Arabidopsis thaliana: one gene and its partners. The protein of the gene in region 1 interacts with the protein of each later gene in a pairwise test. Each region holds a gene or a part of one and is shown in the gene's direction. Other genes may lie near its edges.

What was found.
Region 2: the proteins of AT2G24020 (region 1) and ALB3 interact in binary tests that used the Arabidopsis thaliana proteins (3 or more experiments, as listed by UniProt).
Region 3: the proteins of AT2G24020 (region 1) and ALB4 interact in binary tests that used the Arabidopsis thaliana proteins (3 or more experiments, as listed by UniProt).

What each region holds. Positions count from the first base shown.
Region 1 is NC_003071.7:10,216,515-10,222,005, reverse strand, and holds AT2G24020 (Putative BCR, YbaB family COG0718), read left to right. Parts: upstream 1-2,537; 5' UTR 2,538-2,736; coding exon 2,737-2,797; intron 2,798-3,020; coding exon 3,021-3,163; intron 3,164-3,300; coding exon 3,301-3,401; intron 3,402-3,492; coding exon 3,493-3,532; intron 3,533-3,754; coding exon 3,755-3,826; intron 3,827-3,913; coding exon 3,914-3,970; intron 3,971-4,062; coding exon 4,063-4,137; 3' UTR 4,138-4,305; downstream 4,306-5,491. Other genes in the region: AT2G24030 (zinc ion binding / nucleic acid binding protein), read left to right, coding at 1-110, 373-788, 878-1,012, 1,122-1,823; scpl23 (serine carboxypeptidase-like 23), read right to left, coding at 4,464-4,610, 4,683-4,788, 4,856-5,337, 5,413-5,491. UniProt on the Arabidopsis thaliana protein: Participates with ALB4 in thylakoid protein targeting. May function with specific subset of thylakoidal proteins. Binds to DNA and alters its conformation. May be involved in regulation of gene expression, nucleoid organization and DNA protection.
Region 2 is NC_003071.7:12,354,693-12,361,895, reverse strand, and holds ALB3 (63 kDa inner membrane family protein), read left to right. Parts: upstream 1-2,327; 5' UTR 2,328-2,737; coding exon 2,738-3,112; intron 3,113-3,200; coding exon 3,201-3,311; intron 3,312-3,421; coding exon 3,422-3,496; intron 3,497-3,573; coding exon 3,574-3,634; intron 3,635-3,718; coding exon 3,719-3,792; intron 3,793-3,893; coding exon 3,894-3,998; intron 3,999-4,139; coding exon 4,140-4,247; intron 4,248-4,339; coding exon 4,340-4,443; coding exon of another isoform or gene 4,444-4,477; exon of another isoform or gene 4,478-4,751; coding exon 4,752-4,901; intron 4,902-5,001; coding exon 5,002-5,227; 3' UTR 5,228-5,575; downstream 5,576-7,203. Other genes in the region: AT2G28790 (Pathogenesis-related thaumatin superfamily protein), read left to right, coding at 6,408-7,203. UniProt on the Arabidopsis thaliana protein: Required for the insertion of some light harvesting chlorophyll-binding proteins (LHCP) into the chloroplast thylakoid membrane.
Region 3 is NC_003070.9:8,679,807-8,686,909, forward strand, and holds ALB4 (OxaA/YidC-like membrane insertion protein), read left to right. Parts: upstream 1-2,388; 5' UTR 2,389-2,557; coding exon 2,558-2,884; intron 2,885-2,966; coding exon 2,967-3,077; intron 3,078-3,159; coding exon 3,160-3,234; intron 3,235-3,477; coding exon 3,478-3,538; intron 3,539-3,623; coding exon 3,624-3,697; intron 3,698-3,786; coding exon 3,787-3,891; intron 3,892-4,080; coding exon 4,081-4,188; intron 4,189-4,363; coding exon 4,364-4,467; intron 4,468-4,546; coding exon 4,547-4,777; intron 4,778-4,856; coding exon 4,857-5,160; 3' UTR 5,161-5,465; downstream 5,466-7,103. Other genes in the region: AT1G24485 (ER protein carbohydrate-binding protein), read left to right, coding at 51-658, 1,198-1,257, 1,520-1,673, 1,794-2,088; AT1G24510 (TCP-1/cpn60 chaperonin family protein), read right to left, coding at 5,698-5,868, 5,951-6,064, 6,168-6,334, 6,508-6,610, 6,703-6,755, 6,837-6,969. UniProt on the Arabidopsis thaliana protein: Required for the insertion of some light harvesting chlorophyll-binding proteins (LHCP) into the chloroplast thylakoid membrane. Plays a role in the accumulation of some cytochrome b6f components in the thylakoid membrane.

The sequences.
Region 1 (5,491 bases):
ATTCAGATACAGAGCCATCGATAATAATCGCCCACCTCCTGCGACGGACACGACACCATCTCCGTCGCTGAAACCGAACTTTCCTTTCTTGTCGGAACGATCAATGCCAGGTTTGTACTGTCTGTGCATCGTATTTTTTATCCATCCCCGACAGAGAACATTGTTATGATTCTGCACTTTTCGTATTTTGTTTGGTGATGCGATTGTCTATAGGAGTTGATTTGTTGAGACCTGTTTAGTTTCTGTAACGTAAATTTTGAGTGTTTGTTTTTTCATGTTTTGATTTCACGAAATTGAAATCTGTGTGAAAAATCTGAAGTTTATGAATCTTCTCATGTCGAAATGTGAAGTGATTATGAACCTTTTTCGTAGGACAACAAAGTGAGGATCAAGTTCGGGAAGCGATCAAACGAGAAATTGAGAAAGAACAAATCCGTCAAGAGATCATTATCGCAGAAGCAGCGAGAAAACGAGAGCTTATAGCTGAGGTTTTACAAGAGATGGCTATCGAGAGAGAAATGGCGATACGACGAGTTTCAGACACGGAGATGTCTCTAGAGGAAAAGCTAACTATGTGGATCAATCAAAGGAAGCTTCCAAATCAAAATCAGAATCAGTTCAACAACTTTTTCAGACAGAAGTATAGTTACATTGATTCTCTGATCAACACAGGCTCTTACAACAGTCTACTTACATCACCAATGATGCAATTGCCTCAACTTCAGCAAATGTCTGAAGCTACCGGAACATCAATGTTGGAGTCTAATAAAGAGAATTTGATTGTATTGGTGAGTTCTTTAAGTAATGGTAAACATAAATGATAGAGTATATATAAGCCTTTGTTTCATATGTGTTCTCTTTGATTTCTCTATTGCAGAATAGAGCTGATATTATAGGAGCTAAGCCTAAAGCAGACAGTGTTGGTACCATGCAATTGCCTAAACTTCAGCAAATGCCTGAGGCTACAGGAACATCAGTTTTGGAGTCTAACAAAGAGCAGTTTATTGTATTGGTAAGTGTTTTACTACGAGTGTGATATCTCATCTTTTCTATCCACGTACTTTCCTTACTTGCTTATAACAAATCCTGACCATATGTGTTCTCTTTGATTACTATTGCAGGCTAGAGCTGATCCTGTAGGAGAAAAGCGTAAAGCAGAGGATATTCAAACTGGTTTGAACGAAGATCTTCAAGTGAAAAGGCCGAAAGCAAAAGAATCAGAAGCAAAGGCGATGTCTTTGGAAACCGGAGAAATAGTCTCTTCGAAGGTTCCTTGTTCAGGGAAACTTGGCAGTGGAAAGAAAGCAGAAGGTAAGCTAAGAACTAACCAGAAGTTTTGGTGTGAGATTTGTAAAGTTGGGACCTATTGTCAAATAGTCATGAGGGATCATGAGTTAGGTAAAAAGCATAAGGCTGCTGTTACACAACAGAATGAGACACCTGAAGCTGCTTCAACCTCCTTATCCCCTGCTTCCGTTACAGCACCGCAACCAGAAGCCATTAGAGTATGTGAAAATGCTAATCCGCAGGGTCAAAAAGTAGATGAAATTGCGGCGAAAGAAACAACGGGAAAGAAGACAAAAGGTGAGAAGAAAAAGAAGGAAACGGTTTGGTGCAAAACTTGTAATATTCAGACGAATTCTGAGCAGACGATGAGGAATCATACGCTTGGGAAAAAACACATGGCTTTGCTTGAGAAACAGCAGAATAAACTCATTACAGTCCCAGTGAGATCTCTGAATGCTGATCCAGGACAGAAAGAATCAGTATCTCTAGCAATGGATGATACACAAGGTAAGGTTCATTGCTTGGAGAAGTCATAGAAGATTCTTTGTAACTTTGTTAGATTATTTTATATCAACTTTTTTTACCAAAAAAACCTTTGTTAGGTCATGACAATATACCATGAGGAATCAGAGATTGAATTCATGAATTTATTTTTATTTTTTCTTATGCAATGTGACAGTAGGAGATTTGCATGATGTTTTTTTTGTTGTGAGATTGAGAATCATGAGAATAATAACCAATGCCATTAGAGAGACCAGAATAAGTGTATAGATCATGATTGCATTTTGGAGTGTGTGTTGTCTTATGCTTTTATCATATGTTTTACAAACTTACAACTGTACAAGCAGAGTATGTTTGTTTGGACATGATACGATGATAAATGTCTTCTTTCAGGAGAGGCCCAAAATGGTTTGCCTAGAGGTATTTCAAATGTTTGGGGTGAGTCTCTCTATACATAGAGGGTATATAGACAACTCCACAATCAATCAATAGTTCTTCTCGCAATACAGCTCCACAAGACCACAACACATATGACCATGTCCCATACATAGAACCACGAAAGATGGTTCTATTGTAGCATGTTTTTTTTTTTTTTTGGTTTAATGAAGCATGTTACAATCTCTGATAAAGTTTCATCTATACTAGAAATTGAATTTTTCGAAAATCGAATCAATATCTGATGTAAGAACATTTTACGTTTGATCACTCAATTTCGTACTGAAAGTGTATAAACTTTAAAGTTGCGACTTCTTCACTAGAAAAGAATGGTACAAAAACAATCTAAGCTCAAAAAAAGAGTTAAAGTGACGTGGCGCAAAATCATTGGTTAAAAGCTTCAACAAACACAGAAGCTACGAACAAGTTGCCCGGAAAAAATTAGCTTCCGGTTTTATCTTCTCGAATTTCAGAAAAAAAGCCCTTCTCTAATATCTCTCTACTCGTACAACAATGGCGTCGATGGCTGCAACCACCAATTTCACCAAATCTATGCTCTTTCCATTCTCTCATGGTTAGTCTCTCCTAAATCCCTACTTCTATCTCTCGCTTAAGGTTTCGTGACACTGGATTTTGAGTCTTTATGTATCTGTCGTACATTAGGTTTCATCTGAATTTGCTTAATCTTTCGTAATTAGACTTTTCTATTCCATAATTGGAGGAATTGAAGCGTAATTTTGTATTTATAAGTGTTTTTGGGATTGAAATGGGCTTTAGTAATTTTTTGGTTTGAATAGTTTCAGGAAATGCGAGCTTGAATTCGCAGAGAAGAACATGGCCAAAGCAGTACAAGTCTAAAAATGGTTACAGGTCTCTTCGAGTGAATGGATTATTTGGAGGTGGAAACAAAGATAATAACAGTGAAGATGGACAATCAAAGGTTGGTACATTACATTGGTTTTTTCAAATATCAAACAGATTCTGCAATAGGTGAACATTTTAAGTTAGGCTTCATGTTGTAAAGATTCAAAGTTTATGATTTTGGAACTAATGAAGTTTGTGTGTGATCTTTCCTAGGCAGGAATATTTGGTAATATGCAGAATATGTATGAGACTGTGAAGAAAGCTCAAATGGTTGTTCAAGTGGAAGCTGTACGTGTTCAAAAAGAGTTAGCTGCGTAAGTCCGGCACATTTATCATACAAAATTTGAGGAAGTTTTCTTCTATGAGTAATGAGTTTTGCATGTTGGTTTTGTTCCAATTTCGCAGCGCAGAATTTGATGGTTATTGTGCAGGCGAGCTTGTCAAGGTCAGTTTAGAGCTTGTTTTGGCCTTAAGATAGATCAATGCACATAATAGATCAGTGAAGTATTAACTAACGTTTACTTGATGATGTAAGAACTGTGTTTTCTGATTTGTTAGTCTTTGGATGATTTGGCAAGAACTCCACTCTAGAATCTCAAAACTTTGTTTAGTCTTTATTGTTTCTGTTACAAAGTCTGATGACCTAAACCTTATGAATTTGTGTCAGGTTACGTTATCAGGTAACCAGCAACCAATCCGTACTGATATTACCGAGGCAGCAATGGAACTAGGTTCCGAAGTGAGTAACCATACGTACCTTGTTATGGAACAGTCAAAGCTAATTCATCAGTTTCTCTTGTTGATGTTGTGTGTTTTCCTTTGGCAGAAACTATCACAACTTGTCACAGAAGCATACAAGGACGCACACGCCAAGAGTGTGGTGGTATAGCAATTTGCAGACCATTTATCACAATGCAACTAAAGTATTTGTTTCTATCCATTTCTTCTAATTGAACTTTGTGAATTTTTTCACAGGCTATGAAAGAGAGAATGAGTGACCTTGCGCAGAGCTTAGGAATGCCACCGGGTCTCAGCGAAGGAATGAAGTAAGAAGCTGTTTTTGTTGTTTCATTTCAACTTTCAGGTATGAGAGGTTCGGCTTTTTTTGTTTGTTTGTATATCAGTCAGGCAGAAGCAAAGAGCTTTGTACTCTACTCTTATGGAATTATATATAAAAGATTTGAAACTTTTGGTTTTCTGCAATTTTATTCCCAAGGTATCAACACAATTGTTCTAGTATCAACATATATCTTCTTCGAATACAAGAATGCTTTTAGTGTCTTATGAAATCAAGTTGATTTGAAACATAAAAATTTCAAAAGAAAACACCGAGTTAACTCGGGTTTTGGAGGGAGCCTTCTATCTTATGTGTGTGACTAATAAGATCTTGGAAGCTCTTTGCCGGCCAAGAACGATCTTAAAAGAGTGAGAGCACGCTCGGGTTGCAACACCGGCACTTCGTGGCCCGCCCCTCTTATCGTCGCAAAGGTAAGCCCCTCATATACCTCTGTCCATCCTCCCACCTGACACCACCACCATGAGAAATCACTAGCTCTGCATAATAAGAATAGAACCACGAATTTGATGAAAATTACCTGCTTTTCGGAGTACCAAGGGTACCAGGGAGTTTTCACCGGAAGATTGAGTTTACTGAGGGCAAGTCGAGTCCCAGTCACTGGAACCACTGCGTCTGTATCGCCACTACATCAACAAAATGTGGTTAAAGGACACGAAAGGTACTTTACTTGCAGCTAGTTTCATGGTTTACCTAAAGACCCAGATCCTCAAACCAGCGGCAGTGAGTTCCTTGTATATCGGCAACATTGAAAACTCGGAATCTTTCCAGTTGTTATTCACAACCATATTGCACAATGTCCACTTATAAGGAATGGAGGTAAGATTAGCGTGCATAGCTCGTTGCACATCAGGACGGTTGTAATATATCTCAGCGTAGCTTTCGGTACAAGGGTCGTACTCGTATTCCTCTACCAAAAGCCGTCCATGCAGGAACTTGGTCTGGTTGGTTTGATGTACACATGAGGGTGAGTAGATGCTGTACCCATTGACTTTGCCAAACTCTCTGTAGGCGAAGTAGAGTGCCCAATTGCACTTGTCCGAGGTTTTATCCGCAGTGAAGCTGCAGTGTTTGAGGATAGACTTGTAAGTTTTGTCAGAGATCATTGCGTGTGACCACGCATACATGGCGGCTCCTAATCTGTCGTAATGCTTGTCCATATCTCCATTTCCCACCTGTGCAAAAGAATATATATGCATTAAGGAGGGATTAAGGTTTCGGAAATGTGATAAATAGAACCGTAGTTTTACCATGAATCCTTTGAGGTTAATGATGGGTGTATTGTTGAAAGCTTTGTTGTAGAGATGGATCTTTTTGGCAAGCTGAGGA
Region 2 (7,203 bases), 2.1 Mb from region 1:
AGATCTTTCAAATTGTCTCTACATTTTATCTTCTCTTTTACTTTTCCCTAACGATTTTGTTGTATGTAGTATATATCTTTAATAATCAGTCGTTTCGTATATAAATGCGAACATCTTTTTCAGAAAGAGATTGCCTAAAATGGCGTATATGTTGTATTATTACCCTAAAAACAAATAATCTTTAACGTTAGTTGATCATGCATGAAATCATCAGCAAACCTTTTCATAATCCCACTCATCTCTTTTGTGCTCTTGTCCTTCTCCATTTTGTTGTTATCTTCTCTCTTTTTTTCTTCATTTTGACCATATATCATTTCTCAATAATTTTTCGAATTTATCATGAAAAACGTAGAACTTCTACATGTCAAAAGCTTAGATACACTGAAACCATGTATTTTAGTGGTTTATGCTACAATCGTGTCTATGTGTTACTATTATTAATAAAATTTATATAATGCATATTGTTAAACAAAAAGTTGACGAAATTATGACAGAAAAAAATGACGAAACAATTTCTTTTAACTCTTTATCCACAAATATCTGATTTTTTTTTTTTTTTTTTTTTTTTTTTTTTTTTTTTTTACTAGGGAAGCAATGAATTGCTCTTTTTTTCTCTCCTGGTGTCAATGCTTCAATTATGAACGTTAACTAATTTATTGCTTTATGAGCTTCTTTCTCGTCCAAACATTCTTAAAAACAATAGTGAAAGTCTCGATTACGAATTCAATATGACTACGTTCAATTTCATATATCGCTTTCCATTCTAATTTTTTAAGATTTGGCATAGGTGTACTAATCATTTGCTTCATCTGCCGAACAAATTTTCATAATTACTTTTTTAAAGAACGCATATGCGGTTATAATTTGTACCACTCTTAACTTTGCATATGAATTTACTTAATTACTTATGCACCCATTAATCAATGGAAGCCCGAGGTAATATGCAACCTGATTAAAAAATATTACGTTATTATTCTGATGGTCCGTACATACAAATATTACTTTTTATAATTTTCCTATGTATCCTTTGTATATGAATTGAAAAGCATTTTAGAGAAATAATTTCTATTTAGTAACAAATTAATGAGTTATTACCCATAAATTATTCTTACGTCTCCATCAAAAAGTGAGTTTAGCCTTGAAAGTTCTGTGTCGACGTCGTTATGTTATAAAACAATAAATACGAACTCTTAATCGTTCGTTGTCATATAAAATTAAGAAAAAAATACAACATCATCATTTTTTTTATTTTTTTTGTCAAACTTACAACATCATCATTTCTATCAAAAATTTATGTTAAAAAACAAATTATGAAATAAATAATTATTTCACAACGAAAAATAATAATAACAAATATAATTATTTTCAAAACAACTTTAAATTTAATTTCTATATATAGTATTTGGTATAGGTCTATATATGATCGTGACGTGTGAAATATAATTGAGGAACGGTGGATGATTCTTGAAAACAATGTGGAAGATATTTAATTCAGTATGATGCTTAAAAAAACTCATAACGTTAGCTATGTTTTGTTGAATATTACATCACATAAACGTATGGGTGTGCACTTAGAGCGAGCCGGTGATTATAGGTTTGTTTTTTTTGGTAAAAAATTATTGAGAGATTATTGATTATAGGTTTTGAAGCTATCGATCTGAGCTAGAGATTAAGGAACGAATCCCTCTATGAACATTTAAACCTTGTTCTTTTTGCTTATTAACTGAGAGATTAGGATCCTAAAATCTATACAACACTAGAGATCATTATCCAAAAGATTTTACTTAGTCCCATTTGCGGTCACATTTAATTCCCTAAAAGCATGAAAATTCTATCCCATTTGTTTTTTCCACTAGACTTGGGACTCAAAGCGTAATTTATAACTATCTTACGTTAGAGAGCATTATTTACGACCATTATTTAGGCTGAACTCATTATAGACATCGATCAAGCTCTAGTGTTAAATACATTTTCTTTGTGGGATTAATCTTTAAAGGCCTTGTAATCACTTACTATTTCGTAAGTTATGAAGATTTGGGAACCGGATTATGGCTTTGGGAAGTTAAGTCCTATGACTCAAGCTTACCTTTTTAGGGTTGTGTATAGGTTCTCGATAAATGTTTCAGATTAGTTCATTTGTTTTTTTGTTTATAAAAACTACATAATATAAAACGTGGAAAGAAAGTGATAATGACAAGAAATAAAAGTAAGAAAGGTGGTGGTGTGAGAATCAGATTCGATGTCAACTAATTGAAAGAGAGTACGCAGCTTTTTCTTCACAATTATATATATTTTGTGGAAAAGCTTACCATACATTCACAAAGCATTCGAGATTTGATTTTTATAGAAAAGTATTTACATAAAGTATTTTCTAAATCGGTTTCTATTTTGTATGCTTTCAGTTTTATTTTGTGTTGGGGAAGTGATCCATGCATTGAGCTTGGAGATTGATGGATTGGTAATTAAGCCTATTAAGTTAAGCAGGCCTGTTTCTAAAATGGGCCCTAATAAGCCCAAACTACAAAAAGCACCGATATATCCCACGTTAGATACATGTCCACGTGGACTCCTATGACTGGATGTAATCTCCACCACGCGCGATCACCAGCTTCGTCTCTCATTTTCATTTTCCAATTTATTTTCAAAAAAAGATAAATCCAGAAAAAAATTTACAAAATAAAAAAATAAAAATCTCTATCTTCTTCTTCGTCTCTTCTCATCCTCCTCTCAAGCTCCAATGGCGAGAGTTCTAGTCTCGTCTCCATCTTCATTCTTCGGTTCACCGTTGATTAAACCGTCGTCATCTCTCCGTCACAGTGGAGTAGGAGGAGGAGGAACCGCTCAATTTCTTCCATACCGGAGTAATAATAACAAACTCTTCACTACTTCAACCACCGTACGATTCAGCTTAAACGAGATTCCTCCTTTCCATGGCTTGGATTCATCTGTAGACATCGGAGCGATTTTCACCAGAGCTGAATCTCTTCTCTATACAATAGCTGACGCCGCCGTTGTTGGTGCTGATTCCGTCGTAACTACTGATTCATCCGCCGTGCAGAAGAGTGGTGGTTGGTTTGGTTTTATCTCCGATGCTATGGAATTGGTTCTTAAGGTGAGTTTTAAGCTGCTAATTTCGATCTCTGTGTGTAGAATTCTGGAAATTGTATTTGTAGCTTAAGTTTTTTGGTTTGGATTTTTAGATTTTGAAGGATGGATTATCAGCGGTTCATGTACCTTATGCTTATGGATTTGCGATTATCTTGCTTACGATTATCGTCAAAGCAGCGACGTATCCTTTGACTAAGCAACAGGTTAGTGAGTGTGATTAGTTGAATTTTGCAGCTCCTCTTGTCACTTTGATTCAATTTTGGCATGTTGGTTGAGAATTTTTGAGCATTGCTTTTGTTTTGGAATCCTTTAGGTTGAATCAACACTAGCGATGCAAAATCTTCAACCGAAAATCAAAGCGATTCAACAACGTTACGCAGGAAATCAGGTGAGTTTCTTTGGATAGAGAATGAGTTACTTGTGGATGACGAGTCTGATTTGTTTGTTCTGTTTTTGGATATATAGGAGAGGATACAACTAGAGACATCGCGATTGTATAAACAAGCTGGTGTTAATCCGTTGGCAGGTACTTTCTTTTAGAAGTTACGAGTTTTGTATTCCCTTCCTGAATTGTGGTGACATATGCACATTATTGTTTTTTTTATGTTAGGTTGCTTACCAACTTTAGCAACCATACCAGTTTGGATTGGTTTATACCAAGCTCTCTCTAACGTGGCCAACGAGGTACATATACCTTATGTCTCTTTCAACTACTGATTTCGCTAGAGACCGGATAAGTTTGTCTCTTTCAACTACTAATTGTTCTAAAAACTTTTTTTTTGTAGGGATTGTTTACAGAAGGTTTCTTTTGGATTCCATCTCTGGGTGGACCAACATCTATAGCTGCTCGGCAGAGTGGATCCGGCATTTCGTGGCTTTTTCCGTTTGTGGTAATGGAAGAAAAAAACTTTATGTGAATACGTTTTCTCATTTGATACTTATCTTTATACTAAAAAATTTCATACAACTGAGTCTTTTGCTGTGCAATGAACCTTTATCAAATTGGTGTCTAATATCGTTCGGTGGTGCAGGACGGGCATCCACCATTGGGATGGTATGACACTGTAGCTTATCTTGTTCTACCTGTTCTACTTATTGCCTCCCAGTATGTGTCAATGGAAATTATGAAGCCTCCTCAAGTGAGAAATAAACACAAGTTTCTTTTATTTTTCCTGTTACTTAAACAATTTGATATGATTGTTCTGAAACCGAATTTAATTTCTTTTGTCAGACTGATGATCCTGCACAGAAGAATACGCTTCTTGTTTTCAAGTTTCTTCCACTCATGATCGGTTACTTTGCATTGTCTGTCCCATCAGGACTATCTATTTACTGGTTGGTTTCCCTCTCCTTGAAACTTCTCATCTAACTGTTTTATCCATGCCCTTGATCTACTCATTAAATGGAGTATAAGAAAGATTTTCTCTAGTAATTAACCTAGATGGCTTCATTCTCAAAATGTACGTAAGACGGGTTAGAATTTCGAGGAATACGAAGCTTGTTTGATAAGGAATCATCTAGTGTGACTACATTTTGTAACATCAATATTATTGTATATGACTGTGTTTATTGGTAGGATCTGAGTTTTATTTTTTCCCTTTTTATTATGCTACTGCTTATGTTAAACCATCCTATGGTTTTAGGCTCACAAATAATGTACTTAGTACCGCCCAACAAGTATATCTGCGTAAACTAGGTGGTGCAAAGCCAAATATGGATGAAAACGCAAGCAAAATAATAAGTGCGGGACGAGCAAAGAGATCTATTGCTCAGCCTGACGATGCTGGCGAAAGGTAAGTGAATCCCGAGTCTAGTGGAGATTATATCTCTCAATACGAAGCGTTTTTCTTACAAGTTTGTTATTTCTGATAAATGTATATTGGATCACAACAGATTTAGACAATTAAAAGAGCAAGAGAAGCGCAGCAAGAAGAACAAGGCGGTTGCGAAAGATACAGTTGAATTGGTAGAAGAATCTCAGTCTGAATCAGAAGAAGGGTCTGATGATGAGGAAGAAGAGGCTCGTGAAGGAGCGTTAGCTTCGAGCACAACAAGCAAGCCGCTTCCTGAGGTTGGCCAACGAAGAAGCAAAAGATCGAAGCGGAAACGCACTGTATAGAACCAAAGCAAACGAAATTGCAAGTAAGGAAGAGAAAAGAGAGAGATTTGAATCTTGTTCCTTAGTTTGATCTTTTGATATATATTTGCATACACCATGTCCGGTAATTATCTAATATTAGGGCACAAAAAGGTCATTCTAAAGTTAAAAGCAGTAGTTGATCAAAGTAAATTGTTTATGTGATTCATCTTATTATAAATGTATTAACGTAAATGTGTGTACTATTATGACTTTTCAACATGCCCGCTTCAGTTTTGTTAGCATTTCGTTGTTGTAAACTTGCAATCTATTTGTTTGGTGCTTTTATTAGCTTTGTCAGCTTATAAAAATGGTAAATGTGAATCAAGTAGTATAGTAATTTGTGCAATAAACGAGACAACGATTCCCCATGAATAAACAACAATTACTTCCTGACAAAGAAGCATTGTTCTTTGGATTGGCATGGATAAAATAGAGAGAGGTAAAAATATTACGATTTGGATTGGGCTGAGGCCCAAGATATGGTTACACGATTTTCAAATTCTCGAAGTTGTACAAGTAGACAAAAGACATCTTGTTTTGTCGTGTTGTCGTTTGGTGTTTGTCGTTTTGATGTGTTTGTCAAAGAACCCTGTTACTAATCTGAACGAATATAACTTGTCAGTGTAGCCACATTACACTAATATTCAGAGAAAGTTGTCATGTTGTTACAATCATGAGTCACATAGCATGTAATAGAGTGTACATTTCAATAGGTTTAGAAGTTTAGAACACATAAATCAATCGGTCCATCTAAAATGTTTGCATTATGGTTTACTCATTGTAACTTGTAAACATTACATATGTGAATGCTTACTATCCTAGAAAAGCAAAACTGTTGGAAACAGCTAAAAATTAATATATCTGCCTAATATTTTCAGAATATGTTATTTTTCAACCATCCGAAATAGTGCTATTTACCAAAAACACACATTAGGATTAGTTTACCAATGAAGGAAACAAAGCTTCGTTAGTCACAAACCACATGCCATCATTTTATTCTTTAAAGAGCTTTCAAGCTTTTGACTCATAGAAATAGAATCCAATATTCATCTCTTTTAAACTGACATTAAAGCCCTTCGCCTCCTTAAACCCACATGCTAAATTCATTGCCTAACCACCCAAAACATCCAAAGGGTATTTTCGTCACTCCAAAAAATGTATGCATATCGAAAAATACTTTAGCTTATATACACACACGTCGCATTGGCACACCTTTCACACCAAAAGCTACACAATGGCTAAAACCTCTCTTCCTCTCGCCGCCTCCTTCCTCCTCCTCATCTCCTTCTCCTCCGCCGTAGACACTTCCCGTCTCTTCCTCACCGTCGTCAACAACTGTCCCTTCACTGTCTGGCCAGCCATTCAACCCAACGCCGGCCACCCCGTCCTAGAGAAAGGTGGCTTCGCTCTCCCAACTTTCACTCACCGCTCCTTCAACGTTCCAACCACACACTGGTCCGGTCGCATCTGGGCCAGAACCTGGTGTGCCCACTACAACGGAAAATTCTCCTGCCTCACCGGAGACTGCGGAAACCGCCTGGAATGCAACGGTCTCGGCGGGGCACCACCAGCTTCTCTAGCTCAGTTCGACCTCCACCACGGTGGTCACCACGACTTCTCCTCTTACGGTGTCTCTCTCGTTGACGGTTACAATGTTCCGATGACCGTGACTCCTCACGAAGGCCATGGTGTCTGTCCTGTCGTTGGTTGTCGTGAAGATCTAATAAAAACGTGTCCGGCTCATCTTCAGGTCCGGTCACACAGTGGACACGTGGTGGCTTGTAAGAGTGGGTGTGAGGCTTTCCATACAGACGAGCTGTGTTGTCGTGGTCATTACAATAGCCCTAACACGTGTAAAGCTTCGAGCCATTCGCTGTTCTTTAAGCATGCGTGTCCTTCGAGTTTCACTTTTGCTCATGATAGTCCTTCGCTTATGCATGACTGTGCTTCTCCTA
Region 3 (7,103 bases), on another chromosome or scaffold:
CTAAACATAAATTTATAGCGAATTTCTAACATAAATTCCCACATTTTCAGGTTCCCATATGATCCTTATGATAGAATATGGATGCCAGCATCGGTTTTTGCCTCACATCTAACAAGTTCTGCCACTTCTATCGACACAACAGGAGCTGACAATCGACCACCAGAGATTATCCTTCGGACTTCTTGGTCGCAGAAGGACATGGCTTTCTATGATATAAAGCTACCTTTTTCTGGAGTGACATTTTACATTGTCATTTATTTCTCCGAACCACTAAGCCTTGGTTCTGACCAAAAGCGGTCTTTCAATGTTTACTATGAGGACAAGCAAGTGGGTTCAGATCTAATTGTGCCACCTTTCGGGGCAGTGACTCAAGCTTCTTTGAGGGATGTGGTGAAGACTGAGCTTGCCTATCTGACTTTTGAAGCTACACCAGACTCGACTTTGGACCCACTCATCAACGCTCTCGAGCTCTATGTCATTAGTAATAGTGGTGGAAGTGGAAACGGGACGAATTCAACAAGCACGAGCGGTGGTGGCAGCCCTAGTCCTGGTGGTGGTAGTGGCAGCCCCCCTAGCACTGGCGGTGGTAGTGGCAGCCCCCCTAGCACAGGCGGTGGTGGTGGCAGCCCAAGCAAGGGCGGTGGTGGAGGCAAATCCGGTAATTATTCTTTTCATTATCTTATATATATGTTGTAAAATACGGTTAATTTTAATAATTTTGGTTTGAGATAAATAATGAATAGAAGAGGCTACTAATTCTGACAATAATAAGAAAACGGTTTGTTTTGTAGAAAAGATATCAATCTATATATTAATATATAAATCTATATATATAAGTAACTCTACTCTAGTGGTTCTTTAAAATATATGGATACTGAATTGAAAGGGAGGAACTCGTGTGGGTATATTAATTAGGATGCAAGATTTAGCTTCTAGTTATTGACGATCAACTGCCTTTTATCAACATGCAAGATCATAACTAGGCTTAAAGGTTAGAAGAATGGGAAGTGTTTAACCAAAAACTTTCATTGTAAAACATAGCCGACTAGGAGGCGGTTTAGTCCGACTTTGAGCCGTCATTTTTCTAGATAGATTGGTCAAAAACATGCTCTCCAAATTACTAGCTCCGTAAGAAAATTGACTTAAACTGAAAACTAAAATTATAAGTCACTTTTCTTCGTTTGAACGATATTTTAGGAGGAAGCAATAATGGAGATGGAGGAACCAACAAAGCTAGTGAAGATGAAAAATCTGCAGGCATATCAGTTCTCAATATTTTTTTTAATTAAGATGTTTTTTTCCATATTAGGACTTTTAGAAGAATAGTCACTTAATATAGTTTGGGACAATTTCTAGAGATTATTTTCAAAGTTTTTGTCGTATAACAATATCATTTATATATAAAAAAAAAACATTTATGAAGCTTTGGATGTTAATAATCATGTTATTATTGTTATCAAATGATATGAGATCGTTGGTTCGAGTCTAATATGTGGTACGTTTGTGTTTGTGTATGAAGATTCTTCAGGTAAATCAGGAGAGGAGAAAAGCAGCAGCAACTTAGCTTTACCTCTTGGAATTTCATTACCGACTTTGTTAAGTCTTGGAGCTGGTGGTTGGGGCGTCTGGAAATATTTCATCAAACCTAGGCGCCACCCGGAATCAGAATGTTCGTATTCTCCTTTTATTTTTATTTTTATAAACTTATTGCAATAAATCTTATTAATTTGAATTTCTACTATAATTTTTATTTGAATTAACTAATGTATATAAATATTTATTTATGGTTGCAGTGCCACTCAAACAGAATATAAGTTTACAAGTGAATATGGGAAACGCAACAGTAGTGAATGCTGGGCAATGACGACGACTTACATCTACTACATGCGGATCCATCATCACTCATCACCCTCCAATATATGTTATTCTTTTTTTCTCCTGATTTATTGGTTGTTAGATGTAATTTATACTATTTCAGTCTTTTCATCGTATGTTTCACATATTTTTATACTTAAACAAAAATCACTAACAATCATGAAATGTTTATCTCTATGGTTTTCTCCACCAAAGTTCGGGTATAGATATTAGTGTTACTTTTCGTTGTAGAATTTAATTGGTTATAGTTGTTAACGAGTGATTTATAGGTTGTGAATGGTGACTAAAACCGTATCCAAAACCGTATCGTAACAGTGTTGTAACAATATCAAAATTTTTACATATATATATGTATTTATGTATTTTTGTTATTATTTGAACCGCACTGCACTTTTCCCGCATCGCAAAACACAGTCACCATTCGGAGCCATAGTTTATGTTGTTATATTTACCCTAGAAAAAGTCAATAAAAAAGGTGAGATATATAGTTTGTGTTGTTAGTTTTAAAAAATCAGAAAAACAAAATTTGGTTTGCTCCACTTCTCAGTTCGGTCGGTCTCGCACACTGAGACGCAAAGCAAGAACACAACAACACAACAATACTGCCAACAAAATCCAAATCTTCCCCATTTTGTCTTCTCAACCAAAACCCTAAAACTCTCCTTCCTTCTTCTCCCTAGAGATGTCTTCAACAATATCCCTAAAGCCGACGCACCTTATCCTCTCCTCTTTCTCCACAGGCAAAGTCCTCCAATTCCGCCGCTCCCGTTTCAGCCACACACCGTCGTCGTCGTCGTCTCGTTATCGGACTCTCGTAGCTCAACTCGGGTTCAGACCAGATTCTTTTGATTTCATCAAGGACCATGCCGAGAATCTGCTGTACACGATCGCTGATGCCGCCGTTTCGTCCTCTGAAACCTTTGAATCTGTCGCCGGCACTACTACCAAAACGACCCAGAGCAATGATTGGTTCTCTGGTATTGCTAATTACATGGAAACTATTCTCAAGGTATTAAAAGTTTTGTCTTTTTTGGTTTAGAAAGAAATGAATTTTTGTGTAGCTATATGATTGATTTTGAATTGGATTGCAGGTTTTGAAAGATGGGTTATCAACTGTACATGTTCCTTATTCCTATGGTTTCGCTATCATTCTATTGACTGTGCTTGTTAAGGCTGCTACGTTCCCATTGACGAAAAAACAGGTTTTTAGTTTGTTTCTATTGCTGCTAAGCCATGATATCATTTTTAGTCCATGTTATTGAATTGGTGGTTTATTCTCTACAGGTTGAATCTGCCATGGCTATGAAATCTTTGACGCCTCAAATAAAGGCTATTCAGGAACGGTATGCTGGTGATCAGGTGAAAAACAATTCTTCTATACTGTACACATGGGTTTTATTTGTCCTGATGCTATACTAAGTTATGTTTGCATCAATTCTTAGTTGATGGAGTTAAGGAAAAAGTAAGAACATGTGTGTTGCTATTGGTTCCACAATTGTGGAGGGATACTAATGAATATAACAAATATTATAGCTTTACTATGTATGAATATAGCCCTCTTGTTTAAACAAATAGCTTCTTTATTTTTGTTTATCTTTGCAGGAGAAAATTCAGCTTGAAACTGCTAGATTGTATAAGCTTGCTGGAATAAATCCCCTTGCAGGTACAGTATGTTACTTCAGCTTATCGTATGTTTTTCCATTTGAGACAACATTTATGGTTAAGCTATATTTTCATTTATCTGTTAGGCTGCCTCCCCACACTAGCCACGATACCTGTCTGGATTGGGCTATATAGAGCCCTCTCAAATGTTGCAGATGAGGTACCTGGAAATAACTATATCCTTTTGTATCTGTAAGTGCCTTGAGATTCTTTTTTGACAAGTAGTTGGATGCTTGTTTCTAACTTTAGGGGCTCTTAACGGAAGGTTTTTTCTGGATACCTTCTCTTGCTGGTCCAACGACTGTTGCTGCAAGACAGAATGGCAGTGGAATCTCATGGCTGTTCCCTTTCATTGTAAGTATCATTTGAAACTTGATATTTCGAAAATGGAATCTAGACTAGACTCATAGTTCTTACGAACTCTTATTCAGTTTAATTGTTCAAGCATATAAAACTGATTAAAATGAATTATTGAAGAAAACTTGAGGGGAGTGGTGTCGGACCTCATCGCTGATGTCTACAAATTTCCATTTTATTTCTCAGGAGGGACACCCACCTCTCGGATGGCCAGACACATTAGCATATCTTGTCTTACCTCTATTGCTCGTCTTCTCTCAATACCTCTCCATTCAAATTATGCAGTCCTCGCAGGTATAGCATCATGTGGAATATGTGATAATAGTCTATTAGTAGTTACGTCTATGTTGAAAATGTGTACCACATTGGTGCCTGTGCTGAAAGCTCATTCCATTAAAGTATAATTCAATCAACAACGAAATCCTTCTATGCAACAGAGAAATTTATGTTTCTTATCATTTTTTGTCAGAGTAATGATCCAGCCATGAAGAGCTCACAAGCAGTGACTAAGCTTCTTCCACTGATGATTGGCTATTTTGCATTATCAGTTCCTTCTGGTTTAAGTCTTTATTGGTGAGTCTAATTTTCTGTGGTTTTCGTGAGTGGTCAGCTTCCACTCGCTATTCTTCTCAGTTTTAAAGTGTTTTTGCAGGCTGACCAACAACATTTTGAGCACGGCACAGCAAGTATGGCTTCAAAAATATGGTGGTGCTAAGAATCCAGTGGAGAAATTCACTAATTTGGTCACTAAGGAAGATAAAACACAACAAATTGAGAAGTCTTTTTCAGAACCACTAGTTCAGAAGTCTGTTTCAGAACTGAAAATACCAAGAGAGAAGGGTGGTGAAAAGGTGACCCCAGAATGCCCCAAACCTGGTGAAAGGTAACCAAATCTTCTAAAATGTGTCATCATTCGTTCCTAGAAGCTGTTTTTTTGTACTAACACGTCCATGTGATCCCAGGTTTAGGCTGCTGAAAGAGCAAGAAGCAAAGAGACGTCGAGAAAAAGAAGAGAGGCAGAAAGCTGAAGCAGCTCTATCTAATCAAAATACAGACAAAGCACATGAACAAGATGAAAAATCTGATACAGCCATTGTCGCTGAAGATGATAAAAAAACAGAACTTTCTGCTGTGGATGAAACATCCGATGGCACAGTAGCTGTGAATGGGAAGCCATCCATTCAAAAGGACGAGACTACGAATGGGACATTCGGCATTGGCCATGATACAGAACAACAGCATTCTCATGAAACAGAGAAGAGGTAAAGACTCATGTTTTCATGTCTTAAGGCGAAGCCAAACAAACAAAGAGGAATTGAGATTTGAATAAGACGAGGAGAAATCTTGGTACTCAGGCCTTGTAGTCCCTCTGCAACAGATTTCGAAGTTTATAGATCTTAAGAGTGGGAAACATTAGTCTTCAGGGTTTAGATTTTGTGTACAAAGACCATAGCAGATGGGTATTTGAAGCCTTCGAAGCTTGGTTTCATATTTCTTATGTTCTTATGTACAAGCAAACAATTACTTTTGTCCTCGTTCACTGGTGTTACACTAATACGATAATAGTTTAGTCTACAGTATGAGACCTGCATCAGTTACTAAATCGAAAAGAAAATGCAAACGAGTGCTTCGATCTGTGGACAAGTACACACAAAAATTAAGATCTGACGATGTTCTTAAATAGAAGGTTGCAAAACAAAGGGAACAAGTCAAGGATAACGATGTCGAAGGGTATCAAAAGCTAATAGAAAGCAAACAAAAAACACCGAAGAAGCCAAAGGTTAGGACAAAGGTAGCAACAAATCAGTATTCAGAATTGGAGATGACATCGTCGATCTTTAGAATCATCTTAACGACTTGCGTAGCTAGCAAAATTTGTTGCTGTTTCCCGATCAATGTTTCAAACACATTTTGCTCCCTCATATCGTTTGTTCCCACGTCATTGCAATCTATTCCATAGAAGGGAATATTCTCCTGTTCATCAAAACCCAATGTTTGTTCAGTCACCGAACAAGCAAGTCAATGATATAGATAATAAAGTTCGTCGTTTACTAACCTTAATTTGCTGAGATTTAACCGCAGAGAGTGTCTCAATGGGCTGTAATCCACTGTTCTCTGCAAGAGCCATAGGGACAGAGTCCAAAGCTTCTGCAAACGCCCTAATTGCATACTGTAAATGAGGAAGTATTTATACATGATTAGTATTCAGAGTTACAATTTGAGAAACAAATGATTTCATTTCAGGGTATCAAAGAGGAAAGATCATATTTTACCTGCTCCACGCCAGGGTATTTATCAGCAGCTGCATCAACCGCAAGTGAGCAAGCGATTTCAGCTGCCCCACCTCCATAAACAATTGATTTGTTGCGGATGAGATTCCTAGCCACACACAGAGCATCGTGGATACTACGTTTCGTCTCTTCTATCATCATTTTGTTACCTAAACCATATTCCGCAACAAATCGTTGGATCAATCAGTTATACAATATCGTTGTCCACCATATACTTAGAAGGCATTAGATTCAGTACATCGATGTTTATCTCTCATCAGCTATTCAAAAGTCAAAACAGTGCTGCTAAAGTGCTAATAAGTACAAAAGACAAGGCGATTACCTCCACGGATGAAAACAGTGACAGCTTTTGAGTTCGCACAGTGCTCAATATACAGCATTCGTTCTTTTGTTGTGCCAAAAGATTTCTCACGAACCACGCCAGCCTAAATATATCAGGAAATGTTGGGTTTCAATGGTCTGTTTAAAATCTAATTAACATTTTACAAGCAAAACCTAGTGAAAGTAAAAAAAATACCTTCCCTAACTTCTCTGGGGTCAACTCCTGGAATCTTGGAACAATTCTACCGCCTACAAAAAGAAAAATTTCTGATCAGCTTTGCATAACTGATACAAACACTAGCATTAGATGCTTAAGAGTACTTTACTTACCTGTGGCTATTGCGATAAGTTCTAATTCAACACCCCCTACCCATCTGACAGCAGGCAAATTCCTGTGCATCAATAGATGGTTTGCCTCATCATCGAATCCCCATTGGCAAATAACCAGCGTAGCACCAACATCCTGCAAAGTTAAAATCATAAGGGTCATACATAAATCATATCATAAAATGCATTGTGGTACTAATGACCATTGTCAAAAGGATTTCTTCAGTAGCTTACTCAACATCCAACTGACAATATAAATTAATACAAATT